Linked DNA regions of Ovis aries. The protein of the gene in region 3 interacts with the protein of the main gene of each other region in a pairwise test. Links are inferred from orthologs where the notes say so. Each region holds a gene or a part of one and is shown on either strand. Other genes may lie near its edges. The genes, in order: COPA, COPB1 and COPB2.

Region 1 (3,653 bases), about 140 Mb from region 3:
AGAGCTGGTTTGGTGGTGCTGAATTCTCTCAGCTTTTGCTTGTCTGTAAAGCTTTTGATTTCTCCTTCGTATTTGAATGAGATCCTTGCTGGGTAGAGTAATCTGGGCTGTAGGTTATTGTCTTTCATCACTTTAAGTATGTCTTGCCTCCTGGCCTGAAGAGTTTCTATTGAAAGATCAGCTGTTATCCTTATGGGAATCCCCTTGTGTGTTATTTGTTGTTTTTCCCTTGCTGCTTTTAATATTTGTTCTTTGTGTTTGATCTTTGTTAATTTGATTAATATGTGTCTTGGGGTGTTTCGCCTTGGGTTTATCCTATTTGGAACTCTCTGTGTTTCTTGGACTTGGGTGATTATTTCCTTCCCCATTTTAGGGAAGTTTTCAACTATTATCTCCTCAAGGATTTTCTCATGATCTTTCTTTCTGTCTTCTTCTTCTGGGACTCCTATAATTCGAATGTTGGAGCGTTTCATATTGTCCTGGAGGTCTCTGAGATTGTCCTCGTTTCTTTTAATTCGTTTTTCTTGTTTCCTCTCTGATTCATTTATTTCTACCATTCTATCTTCTATTTCACTAATCCTATCTTCTGCCTCCATTATTCTACTATTTGTTGCCTCCAGAGTGTTTCTGATCTCATTTATTGCGTTATTCATTATATTTTGACTCTTTTTTATTCTAGGTCCTTGTTAAACCTTTCTTGCATCTTCTCAATCCTTGTCTCTAGGCTATTTATCTGTGATTCCATTTTGATTTCAAGATTTTGGATCATTTTCATTATCAATATTCGGAATTCCTTCTCAGGTAGATTCCCTACTTCTTCCTCTTTTGTTTGGTTTGGTGGGCAACTCTTCTGTTCCTTTACCTGCTGAGTATTCCTCTGTCTCTTCATCCTGGTTATATTGCTGCATTTGGGGTGGCCTTTTTATATTCTGGTAATTTGTGGAGTTCTCTTTATTATGGAGCTTCCTCACTGTGGGTGGGGTTCTATCAGTGGCTTGTCAAGGTTTCCTGGTTAGGGAGGCTTGTGTTGGAGTTCTGGTGGGTGGAGCTGGGTTTCTTCTCTTTTTAGATGCCACCAGCTGATCCATCCAGTACGCTAATCTGAGTTGACCAATGAAGGCAAAGTCTTTCCCTGCTGTAGCAAACCTTGGTCAAGTTCCTTGAACTATGTCCTTCAATTTTCTCATCTGTGATACATCTGCACTGAGGACTTGGTTGTGTCTACCTGTTCAAGGCTTTTATCCTTCATTTAAATAAGTTATCCTTGTTCTTTTATTATAGGAGTTCTTTATTTATTTGAATATCGATCCTTTGTGATGGCAATGTATTACAAATACTAATATCACCTCCCATTCTGTTGCATATTTTTTGATTCTTTTGAGATCCTTTAATGAACAGATGTTCTTAATGTAGTTGAGTTTATGCATCTTATCATTTATGGATATCAAGTTTTGTGTCCTATTTAAGAAATCTTTATTGACTCCAAGATCATAAGAACATTCTTTTACCTCTTCCTATGACAACTTTATAGTTTTGCCTTTTGCATCTAGGTCTATAATCTACCTGAAGTTGATTTTTGTATATAGTGTAAGGTGTAGTGAGTGGGCTCAGCTTTACTTTTTCATAAGGACACTCAGTTTTGTACCAACATCATGTATTGAAAAATACCAACTTTTCCCCATAGTTCTGCAGAGCTATCTTTGTGATATATGAATCACATTTACAGAAATACAAAGATGTGTTTTCTTGTGGTCTTTTGTCTATCTATGATCGAATTCTGCATTGTCTTGAGTGTTATCGTTTTGTAAGTCTTTACATCTGGTAAAAGAAAGTGAAAGTATTAGTCTCTCAGTTGTGTCTGACTGTCTCAGGGGACTATAGCCCCCAGGCTCCTCTGTCCATGGAATTCTCCAGGCAAGAATATTGGAGTGGGTTGCCATAGTAGGTCCACAAATCTTTTCCACTTTAATTTTAGTTTATTAGGCTATTTTCAAATAATTTGAATTTCTCTATTGTATTTTTGTTTTCTATTTCTTAATTTCTACTATTGGCTTTATTTTTTTCCTTCCAAGTATATTCTTTGTTTTAACTTTTAAAAGAACAATAAAATTTTTGAGATGGATACTTATTAATTTTTAGTCTTTATCCTAATATTAAACATATAGAGCTCATTAATTTTTGAGTATTCTAATATGTGAGTACTTAACATTATAAATTATCCTTCAAGTATTGTGTTAGCTACAGTCACAAGTTTTCATTTGTAAACTTTTAATTTTCGTTTAGTTTAAAACATCACATGCCTTGCGTCATTTCTTTGTCAGGAGTCTTCACATGTACCTGTCTTCTGCTCTCACTCACAGCTTATAAGGAAGGATTGACCTGTTCATGGTGGTCTAGTGGTGCTTCCCTGGTGGCTCAGTGGTAAACGAATCTGCCTGCAGTGCAGGAGACCCGGGTTCAGTCCCTGGGTCCGGAAGATCCCCTGGAGGAGGGCATGCCAACCCAATCCAGTACTCTTCTAGAGAATCCCATGGACAGAGGAGCCCGACAGGCTACAGTCCCTAGCGTCAGAGAGTCGGACACAACTGAAGTGACTAAGCAGTTGCAGCAGTGGTCTAGTGATTCTATATCAGAACTTAAGATTCTTAACTTTCAGGTCTGGTTCTGATAGCTGTGTCTCTTAGATTGTAGAGTATTAGCTTATAAAGAGAAATCATACCATCTGCCCCATCTTTTCCCACTTCACACAAGAGAATAAAATAAGTCTGGCATTTAGTTCTGCTCTTTTTTGATTTCACTTCACATCTATACCATTGTTCAAATGGCACTTGAGAAAGGGATAATGAGAAGATAAAAGACTAGGTACTAGACTTGTCTTACTTCCATATAGGCTGGATTTACCCATGCATTTGCTGAAAATTGTGCTTTTTAACTCTTATTCTTAGGGACTATGGGATCATCCGAACTCTGGATTTACCTATCTACGTCACGCGGGTGAAGGGCAACAATGTATATTGCCTGGACAGGGAGTGTCGTCCTCGGGTGCTCACCATTGATCCCACTGAGTTCAAGTTCAAACTGGCCCTGATAAACAGAAAATATGACGAGGTATGAAATGAGGAAGCATATTAGGAGTATTGAGAGGGGCAGTGCTCCTTTTTTCCTATAAATGATCTCTATTTCCTGCCTACCCCACCCCAAATGTCTAGGTGCTACACATGGTGAGGAATGCAAAACTCGTAGGCCAGTCTATCATTGCTTATCTTCAGAAGAAGGGATATCCTGAAGTGGCGCTGCATTTCGTCAAGGATGAGAAAACTCGCTTCAGTCTGGCACTGGAGTGTGGAAACACCGAGGTGAGAGAAGTAGTTATAAGCCCCGTATTGTGGTAGAGGAGGCGAAGGGGTTCCCGTGGCCTTGGGAAGACATTATTCTGGGCTTGCTTCTTCAGCCCGTGTAATGAATTTTAGGATTTTTTAAGTCATTGAGCCATCTTCCTGTTGCTTATTTGCCCATTTTTGCTTCTGCCACAGCATTTCTACTGTTGTTGTCATTCTGAGTTAGTCTGAATTCAGTAACTTTTACAACAGAAGCACGATAGCATAGAATTGGAAAAATCTCATTGTTTCCTTGACCTTGATCTGCCGATTGGC
Region 2 (3,653 bases), on a different chromosome or scaffold from region 3:
TTTTCTTCTAAATATTTTTTAATGAGAAAAAAGTTATACTTAAGTGTTTTTAATTTTTTGTATACATGCAGATTTCTATCTGATATTTTCTTCCTGCCTGAAGGAGTTGATTATTCTTATAATGCAGGTCTGCTGATGATGAATTCTCTCAGCTTTCATTTGCCTGAAAAAAAATCTTTGCTTTCATTAAAAAAAATCACTTTGTGGTAAAACTGAGTGTTTTTTATTTTATTTTTAGTCATATCTTTTTTCACATTGCTAAAATAAGGAGTGATGTAATGAAGATTAATGAGAAAAAAATCAGTCATGGTTAAAACACTGAAGTACAAATCTTATTAATATTGTAGTGGAGATAGAAACATCAAAAAATAGGATTACATTCAGTTCAGTTCAGGTCAACGAAAACCTTTTGTCAGAGTTTATTATGACTTTTATCTTTGAAACACTTTTTCCCTAGTAGAGATCATTTTGTGTATTACCATATTGTAGTTCCATTTAACTTTATAACATTTTCCCTATGCTCTTCTAAACCCTTCCTAATCATAATAATATTCAATAGCTCCATAATAATCCATTAGATTCTTTCATGTAGTCAGACCTGCATATAAGATGACACTTTATTTTTAGATTAGGGATTTTTGAAGGATTTTTAAAAAAATGTCCATCATATATAGCTTTACTCATAAATCCATAAGATTCAGAAGATCAGGTAAATTATAAGATGTTTTATCTCTTGTTAATCAATTACTTTTATTTATGAGGAGTAACTTACTTTGTAATTCTCTGAGGGCCCTTATTTATTTATTTAGGTCTCGTCTGTTCTTTAAATTATGCTTCTTAAAAATCTCCAACATTTTATGTCTTGGTTCTGCAAGTTGGGAGAGCATTTGCTGGAATCTGTTTAAGAGAACCAGCTTTCTGGTAACATACTAGTTCAAGAAATTTGCCACCTTTGGTACAAGGCAGAAGGAAGTTTGGTTGTTCATCACCGTGCTGTCTTGGCTTTCCTTCATTTATGCCTTTTCCAACACACTTCATTTCTTAATGTAGATCTGACTTTCTCGCTGGTATCATACACCTTTTGCCTAAAGAATTTGCTTTAACTTCTCTTGTAGTGCAGATCTGTTGACAGTTAATTCTTTAGGTTTTTGTTTGTCTGAAAAAGCCCTTATTTCTCCTTCAGTTTTGAAAGATATCTTTGTAGGTATAGCATTCTAGGTTGACAGTTTTTTCTTTTAGCACTGTAAAGATGTTGCTTCATTGTCCTCTGGCTTTCCATACTATCAAGATGTTGCTCTTGTGCCTCTTTGTGGAGTGTGTCCTGTTTTCCTCCAGCTGGTTTTGGGTTTTCTCTTTATCACTATAATTAGAATTTCAGGTTTCAGTCATTTGATTAGGATATGCTTTAGTGTGCTTTTCTTTATGTTTCCTTTGCTTATGGTTCATTGAGCTTCTTAAATATGTAGTTTTATAATTTTTATCAAATGTGAGAAATTTTTGGTTATTATTTCTTTAGCTACTTTTCTCTGTCTCCCCTTCTCTTTCCTTGTGGAGACCATATCTGGACACAAAGGATTATTAGATTTATTCTTCCCCAGGCTTCTGATAATTTTTTCATATATGTATGCTGATCACAATGTGTAGATACATTTACATCACAATGGTGGAAAACAATATGGAAAACCAAGGGACTGGTCTAGATTAAAAGGAGCTAAAGAGAATAATAATCAAAATGCATGAACCTGATCCTGGATTTAAAAAAAAAAAAAAAATCTTGTGACAATTAGTAAGATTTAGTTGAATTTGGAGTGTAGTAGATATAGTTGGGAATTGTTACGTTTTTTAGGTGAGATAATGATATTATGATTATCCAGGAAACTGTCCTGAATCAAGAGATGTTTGCTAAAGCACTTATGAAGTAAAGATTCTTGCTTTCATACGTTAAGCCAAAAAAATTGTTGTTGTTGTTTAGTTGCTAAGTCAGAAGTCTGACTCTTTGTGATACCGTGGACCACCAGGCTCCTGGGATTTCCCAGACTAAAATACTGGAATGGGTTGCCATTTCCTTCTCCAGGGGAACTTCCCAACCCAGAGATTGAATCCACACTCGTGCATTGCAGGCAGATTCTTTACCATTGAGCCACCTCAGAAGCCCAAGTCAAAAAAATAAATGTACATATATGGTTAGAGTAAGAACACAGTTTTGGCAGAATATTAACAATTGGTGAAGTGTATCATTCTTGGGCTCCAAAATCAATGCAGACCGTGACTGCAGCCACGAGATTAGAAAGACACTTGCTCCTGAAGAATAGCTATGACACACCTAAACAGTGTATTAAAAAGCAGAGACATCCCTTTGCCAACAAAGGTCCATATAGTCAAAGCTATGATTTTCTGGTAGTTGTGTATAGATGTGAAAGTTGAACCATGAAGAAGACTAAGAGTTGAAGAATTGATGTTTTCGAACTGTGGTGCTGGAGAAGACTCTTGAGAGTCCCTTGGACTGCAAGGAGATCAAACCAGTCAATCCTAAAGGCAGTCAACTCAGAATATTCGTTGGAAGGACTGATGCCAAAGCTGAAGCTCCAATACTTTGACCACCTGATGCAAAGAACAAATTGGAAAAGACCCTGATGCTAGGAAAGATTGAGGCAAGAGGAGAAGGGGGCAACAGAGGATGAGATGGTTGGATGGCATCACTGACTCAATGGATATGAGTGAGCAAACTCAGGGAAATAGTGAAAGACAGGGAAGCCTGGCAGGCTGCAGTTCATGGGGTCACACACAGTCAGACATGACTTGGAGACTGAACAGTAACAAAAAATCATTCTTTTATCTTTCTGAAGTTGGAAAGTATAAGAGAAAATAGAGGAAGAGAAAAAAGTTTTTAAATCTCTGCTCTCTATCAGTTGAGGGTTAATGAAGGTTTTAGAGGGTGGCAGGAAGGAAAAGGGTGTAAAAAATAAAATCTAAAATATTCAGGTTAAGTGATATTAGGTTTAATTTCTTGAATTTTGAGTTATATTAAAGTGACGTTATTGCATTTGTAGAAGCCTGACAATAAATAAACCGTTTCTCTCCTTGTCTAGTCTTTTGTTGCTGAAGCAATGTTGCTCATGGCCACTATCCTACATTTGGGAAAATCCTCTCTTCCTAAGAAGCCGATTACAGACGATGATGTAGATCGAATCTCCTTGTGCCTCAAGGTCTTATCTGAATGTTCACCTTTAATGAATGACATTTTCAATAAGGAATGCAGACAGTCCCTTTCTCACATGTTATCTGCTAAACTTGAAGAAGAAAAATTATCCCAAAAGGTAAGGTATATATATGATAAAGGCATAAAAGTGCTTTGTGTTCTTTGTTGTTGATTTTTCAGTTCTCATATGTGAGGAGTGTCTATGTTGAAGGCCTCCAAAAATTATCGTTTTTTCCAAATTAAAGAGAGTTGATATATTGTTTTTGCAACACAGAAAGAATCTGAAAAAAGGAATGTGACAGTACAGCCTGATGACCCAATTTCCTTCATGCAACTAACTGCAAAGAATGAAATGAACTGCAAGGAAGATCAGTTTCAGCTGAGTTTGCTGGCAGCAATGGGTAACACACAGAGAAAAGAAGCCGCAGATCCCCTAGCATCTAAACTTAACAAG
Region 3 (3,653 bases):
GCATCCCACCCTTGTTCCCCACTAGATTAGATTTGTCTTCTTTAGGATTTCGTCAGTGGAGTTGTGCGGTATGTACTTGTCGTCTGGCTTGTTTTGCTCAGCATAATGTATTTGAGCTGCATCCATGTTGTTACATGGGCTTCCCAGATTGCTCAGTGGTAACGAATCTGCCTGCAATGCAGGATATGTGCGGGTTTGATCTCTTATCTGGGAAGATCCTCTGGAGAAGGAAATGGCTACCCACTCCAGTATTTTTACCTGTGGAATCCCATGGACAGAGGAGCCTGGCAGGCTACAGTCTGGGGCTGCAAAGGGTCAAACACGACTGAGCGACTAAACAGCAGCTTGTTGCATGGATCTATAACTGGCTCCCTTTTGGGCAGAGTAGTAGTCCATTTTATGCGTAGACGACAGTTGGTTTACTCATTCACCTGTTGAAGGACATTTGGATCTTATAAAATGGTTTGTAAGCCCTAGTAATTTGTATAATAGACATTGTGAAGCCTGTTCATTATTTGTCCAACTGTAAGCAGTTCACTGATCTCTTAGGAAAAAAATATATTAGTGAATCTTCAGATATTAATTTTATATTTTTGTGTAATTCACTACTTAAATACATGTGAAGATACTTGTAATATTTGGTGGAATTACAGTTTAGTGTATATGTAATAGGTTATGATTGCTTTCCTTTTCCCCACAGATATGCAATAAGAGAGAGCAACAGTGTTGTAAAGATATTTAAGAACTTTAAGGAAAAAAAATCATTTAAACCAGACTTTGGAGCTGAAAGTAAGTGCTGTTTATATTTGATACAATTTTAGAAACTTTGTAATCGCTCAAAAACATCTAAAGATCTGAAAATATTTTGTTGTTCTTTGTAGGTATCTATGGAGGCTTCTTACTGGGAGTCAGGTCTGTAAATGGTTTAGCTTTCTATGACTGGGAAAATACGGAACTCATACGCAGAATTGAAATTCAACCCAAACACGTGAGCTTCCGTCTTTGCTATTGTTGGAATGTACCTCTTTGTGACAAACTCTGGGTCCCTGAGGCCAAGAAATACCCTGGTACCCTGCTGTCCCTGTCCCATTGTGCTGGACATGGGGCCATTTACCTCAGGATTGCGTTAAAAAGGAAGATTGGGGTATTTGAATAAGGCAGTAGATGTTGGGCTTTTTGAAAAGTATAAAGAGCTGTACAGATACCAAGTGCTAGTCTTATTTTAAATGGCTTTAATGCTTTGAAGAGGAAAAGTCAATGAGTTCTTGGCGTGGCAAGACCTGCAAGTCTCCCACTCAGTTCAGAAAGCCTTTGCCTACGTTACCTGATAACGGCTATTTAAACTTTAGGTGGCCTTTCACCAGCGACAGTTTTCTACCTTTAGATCTGCCTGCTTCTTTGAGAGCTTTCATTGTCAGGAAGTTATCTCTGGAGACAGGTATCTCCCAGGGTCCTAGTTCTGAGTTCTAGAGTCTGCATTCTCAGCAAGGGGGGCATCATCCTTAAGGAGACAGACATCAGTTCCTGAAACCAGTCGATGAGAAAAAGTACTCTGTTCTGTCTGTAAAGCATAGATGTTCATATGTTCATACATGTTACGAGCTTGTGTACTGTGTGTATGTTTATGTATTACATAATGTATAGATGGATAGTGGGCGTCCCTGGTGGCTCAGTCAGTAACGAATCTGCCTGCAATATAGGAGACCTGAGTTTGATCCCTGAGTTGGAAAGATCCCCTGGAGAAGGGAACGGCTACCCACTCCAGTATTCTTGCCTGGAGAATTCCGTGGACAGAGGAGCTTGGCAGGATACTCTCCATGGGGCTGCAAAGAGTCGACATGACTGAGCAGCTTTCACTTTCAGATGTGTAGTATCTGTGATAATAAAACTTGATAAAGGAAAGCGATTGGGAAACAATGCCTAAAAAAGGTTTGGGGTGGGGGTCATAATGGGGGTGGGAGGGAGGGAGAAACACTGTTGAAGAGCAGCTGGGAATATTCTCGTGCTCCTCTGAATCTCAGTGCACCCGGGACCTACTGCCAGCATTTCTTCCTGCCTCCCTTAGGGCTTTCCATTTCTGTACATAAAGTAGCAGCGCCCTGTCCACCCTCCCAAATGTGTGTGTGTGTGTACATATATATGTATCAGATTAAGTGCTTACTTATTATCCTAATGTAAGAAGATAAGTCTTGTAGGAAACAGCATATGCAGTTTGTCACATTCATATAGACTCTAAAATCGTTTATCTGGGTTTTTGTTTGTCATGTCACAGATTTTCTGGTCTGACTCTGGAGAGCTAGTCTGTATCGCAACTGAGGAGTCATTTTTTATCCTTAAATATCTGTCAGAAAAAGTCTTGGCTGCACAGGAAACACATGAAGGAGTTACTGAAGATGGCATTGAAGACGGTTTTGAGGTAATTGCATCAATAAAACTTCAGCTTTGTTTTTAAATGAATTATGTACTTACAGCTGAACTTCACTCATTGTAACATTTTATTATAAATTAGGTTTGGGAAAACTTAATAAACATTTAAGGGGTTACGGTAAAATGTGAAAATTAAAGTCTTGGCTCAAAGATCAGGGTCTGAAAGTATTTGTTAAAAGAGATTTGTGCTTTGATTATAGGAAATCTTTAGACCAACTTTGACAGTTTTTCAGTAAGGAAGTTAGAAGTTGTTATGGTCCTAAGACAGTTTAGCTAGAGTTATTTAAAATGGGTTTTCAAGCAGAGGGAGCCTAGCCTGGTGCTCTTCGATGACTTAGAGGGGTGGAACTTGGCGGGGAAGGGATGGGAGCTCAAGAGGGAGAAGATATATATATTCATTATGGCTGATTCACTTTGTTGCACCACAAAAACCAATACAATATTGTAAAGCAATTTTCCTCCATTTAAAAAGTAAATTAAAATAAGAGAGTCTATAATTATCTTTAAAAAAATAAATTAAATGAACTTCCAAATATAAAGATAAATCATCCATGGTGGAGGTATCTTAGAAGATTTTATGAAGTACTTATTATGCCAGTCTCATGTATGTTAGGAATTTCGATCAGCACTTTCTTAGATTATAGCTTTGGCTCAACGGTGAGACTTAACATTATAGGTGCTCATCCAGGAATCTGTTCTTAAATGAATAAAGAAGATAGACATTCCAAGAAAGATTTTCTTTCTTGAAGTAGGATTCTTTCTTTGCATCTCTTTCTCTATCTGTCACCCCTAATTATATTCAGCTTTTTATTATTGACAGTTTGTTATTTGTTGTTGAATAAGATAATAACAGGCTTCATTTTCTTTCTGTAGGTTCTTGGTGAGATTCAGGAAATTGTGAAAACAGGGCTGTGGGTAGGCGATTGCTTCATTTACACAAGTTCTGTGAACAGATTAAATTATTATGTCGGAGGAGAAATAGTCACCATTGCCCACTTGGACAGGTAGCTGACTATCATTTTGCTTTTGTTTTTAACATCCTAAATTTAAAAGTATACTTTAAAAATAAAACCAGTTGCTGGCTTGTTACAATGATAGGCCTGGTTTTTTAGTTTTATGGTTTTAATAGGTGGCAATTGCTAACTAAAACTGTATCAATCAAATGAAAAGATTATGAGCAAGAGGCAGAGTGAGGGAGGGCGGGAGAGAGTATATACTGATTTGGG

What was found.
Region 1: the proteins of COPB2 (region 3) and COPA interact in a two-hybrid assay, tested with the Homo sapiens proteins (2 studies listed by BioGRID, with this or other methods). The link is inferred for Ovis aries from reciprocal best matches to the Homo sapiens genes COPB2 and COPA.
Region 2: the proteins of COPB2 (region 3) and COPB1 interact in a two-hybrid assay, tested with the Homo sapiens proteins (2 studies listed by BioGRID, with this or other methods). The link is inferred for Ovis aries from reciprocal best matches to the Homo sapiens genes COPB2 and COPB1.

The regions. Positions count from the first base shown.
Region 1 is NC_056054.1:111,321,189-111,324,841, reverse strand, and holds part of COPA (coatomer subunit alpha), read left to right. Parts: intron 1-2,945; coding exon 2,946-3,108; intron 3,109-3,209; coding exon 3,210-3,356; intron 3,357-3,653. UniProt on the Homo sapiens protein: The coatomer is a cytosolic protein complex that binds to dilysine motifs and reversibly associates with Golgi non-clathrin-coated vesicles, which further mediate biosynthetic protein transport from the ER, via the Golgi up to the trans Golgi network.
Region 2 is NC_056068.1:38,004,038-38,007,690, forward strand, and holds part of COPB1 (coatomer subunit beta), read left to right. Parts: intron 1-3,089; coding exon 3,090-3,317; intron 3,318-3,473; coding exon 3,474-3,653. UniProt on the Homo sapiens protein: The coatomer is a cytosolic protein complex that binds to dilysine motifs and reversibly associates with Golgi non-clathrin-coated vesicles, which further mediate biosynthetic protein transport from the ER, via the Golgi up to the trans Golgi network.
Region 3 is NC_056054.1:250,338,067-250,341,719, forward strand, and holds part of COPB2 (coatomer subunit beta'), read left to right. Parts: intron 1-700; coding exon 701-789; intron 790-881; coding exon 882-988; intron 989-2,272; coding exon 2,273-2,416; intron 2,417-3,300; coding exon 3,301-3,431; intron 3,432-3,653. UniProt on the Homo sapiens protein: The coatomer is a cytosolic protein complex that binds to dilysine motifs and reversibly associates with Golgi non-clathrin-coated vesicles, which further mediate biosynthetic protein transport from the ER, via the Golgi up to the trans Golgi network.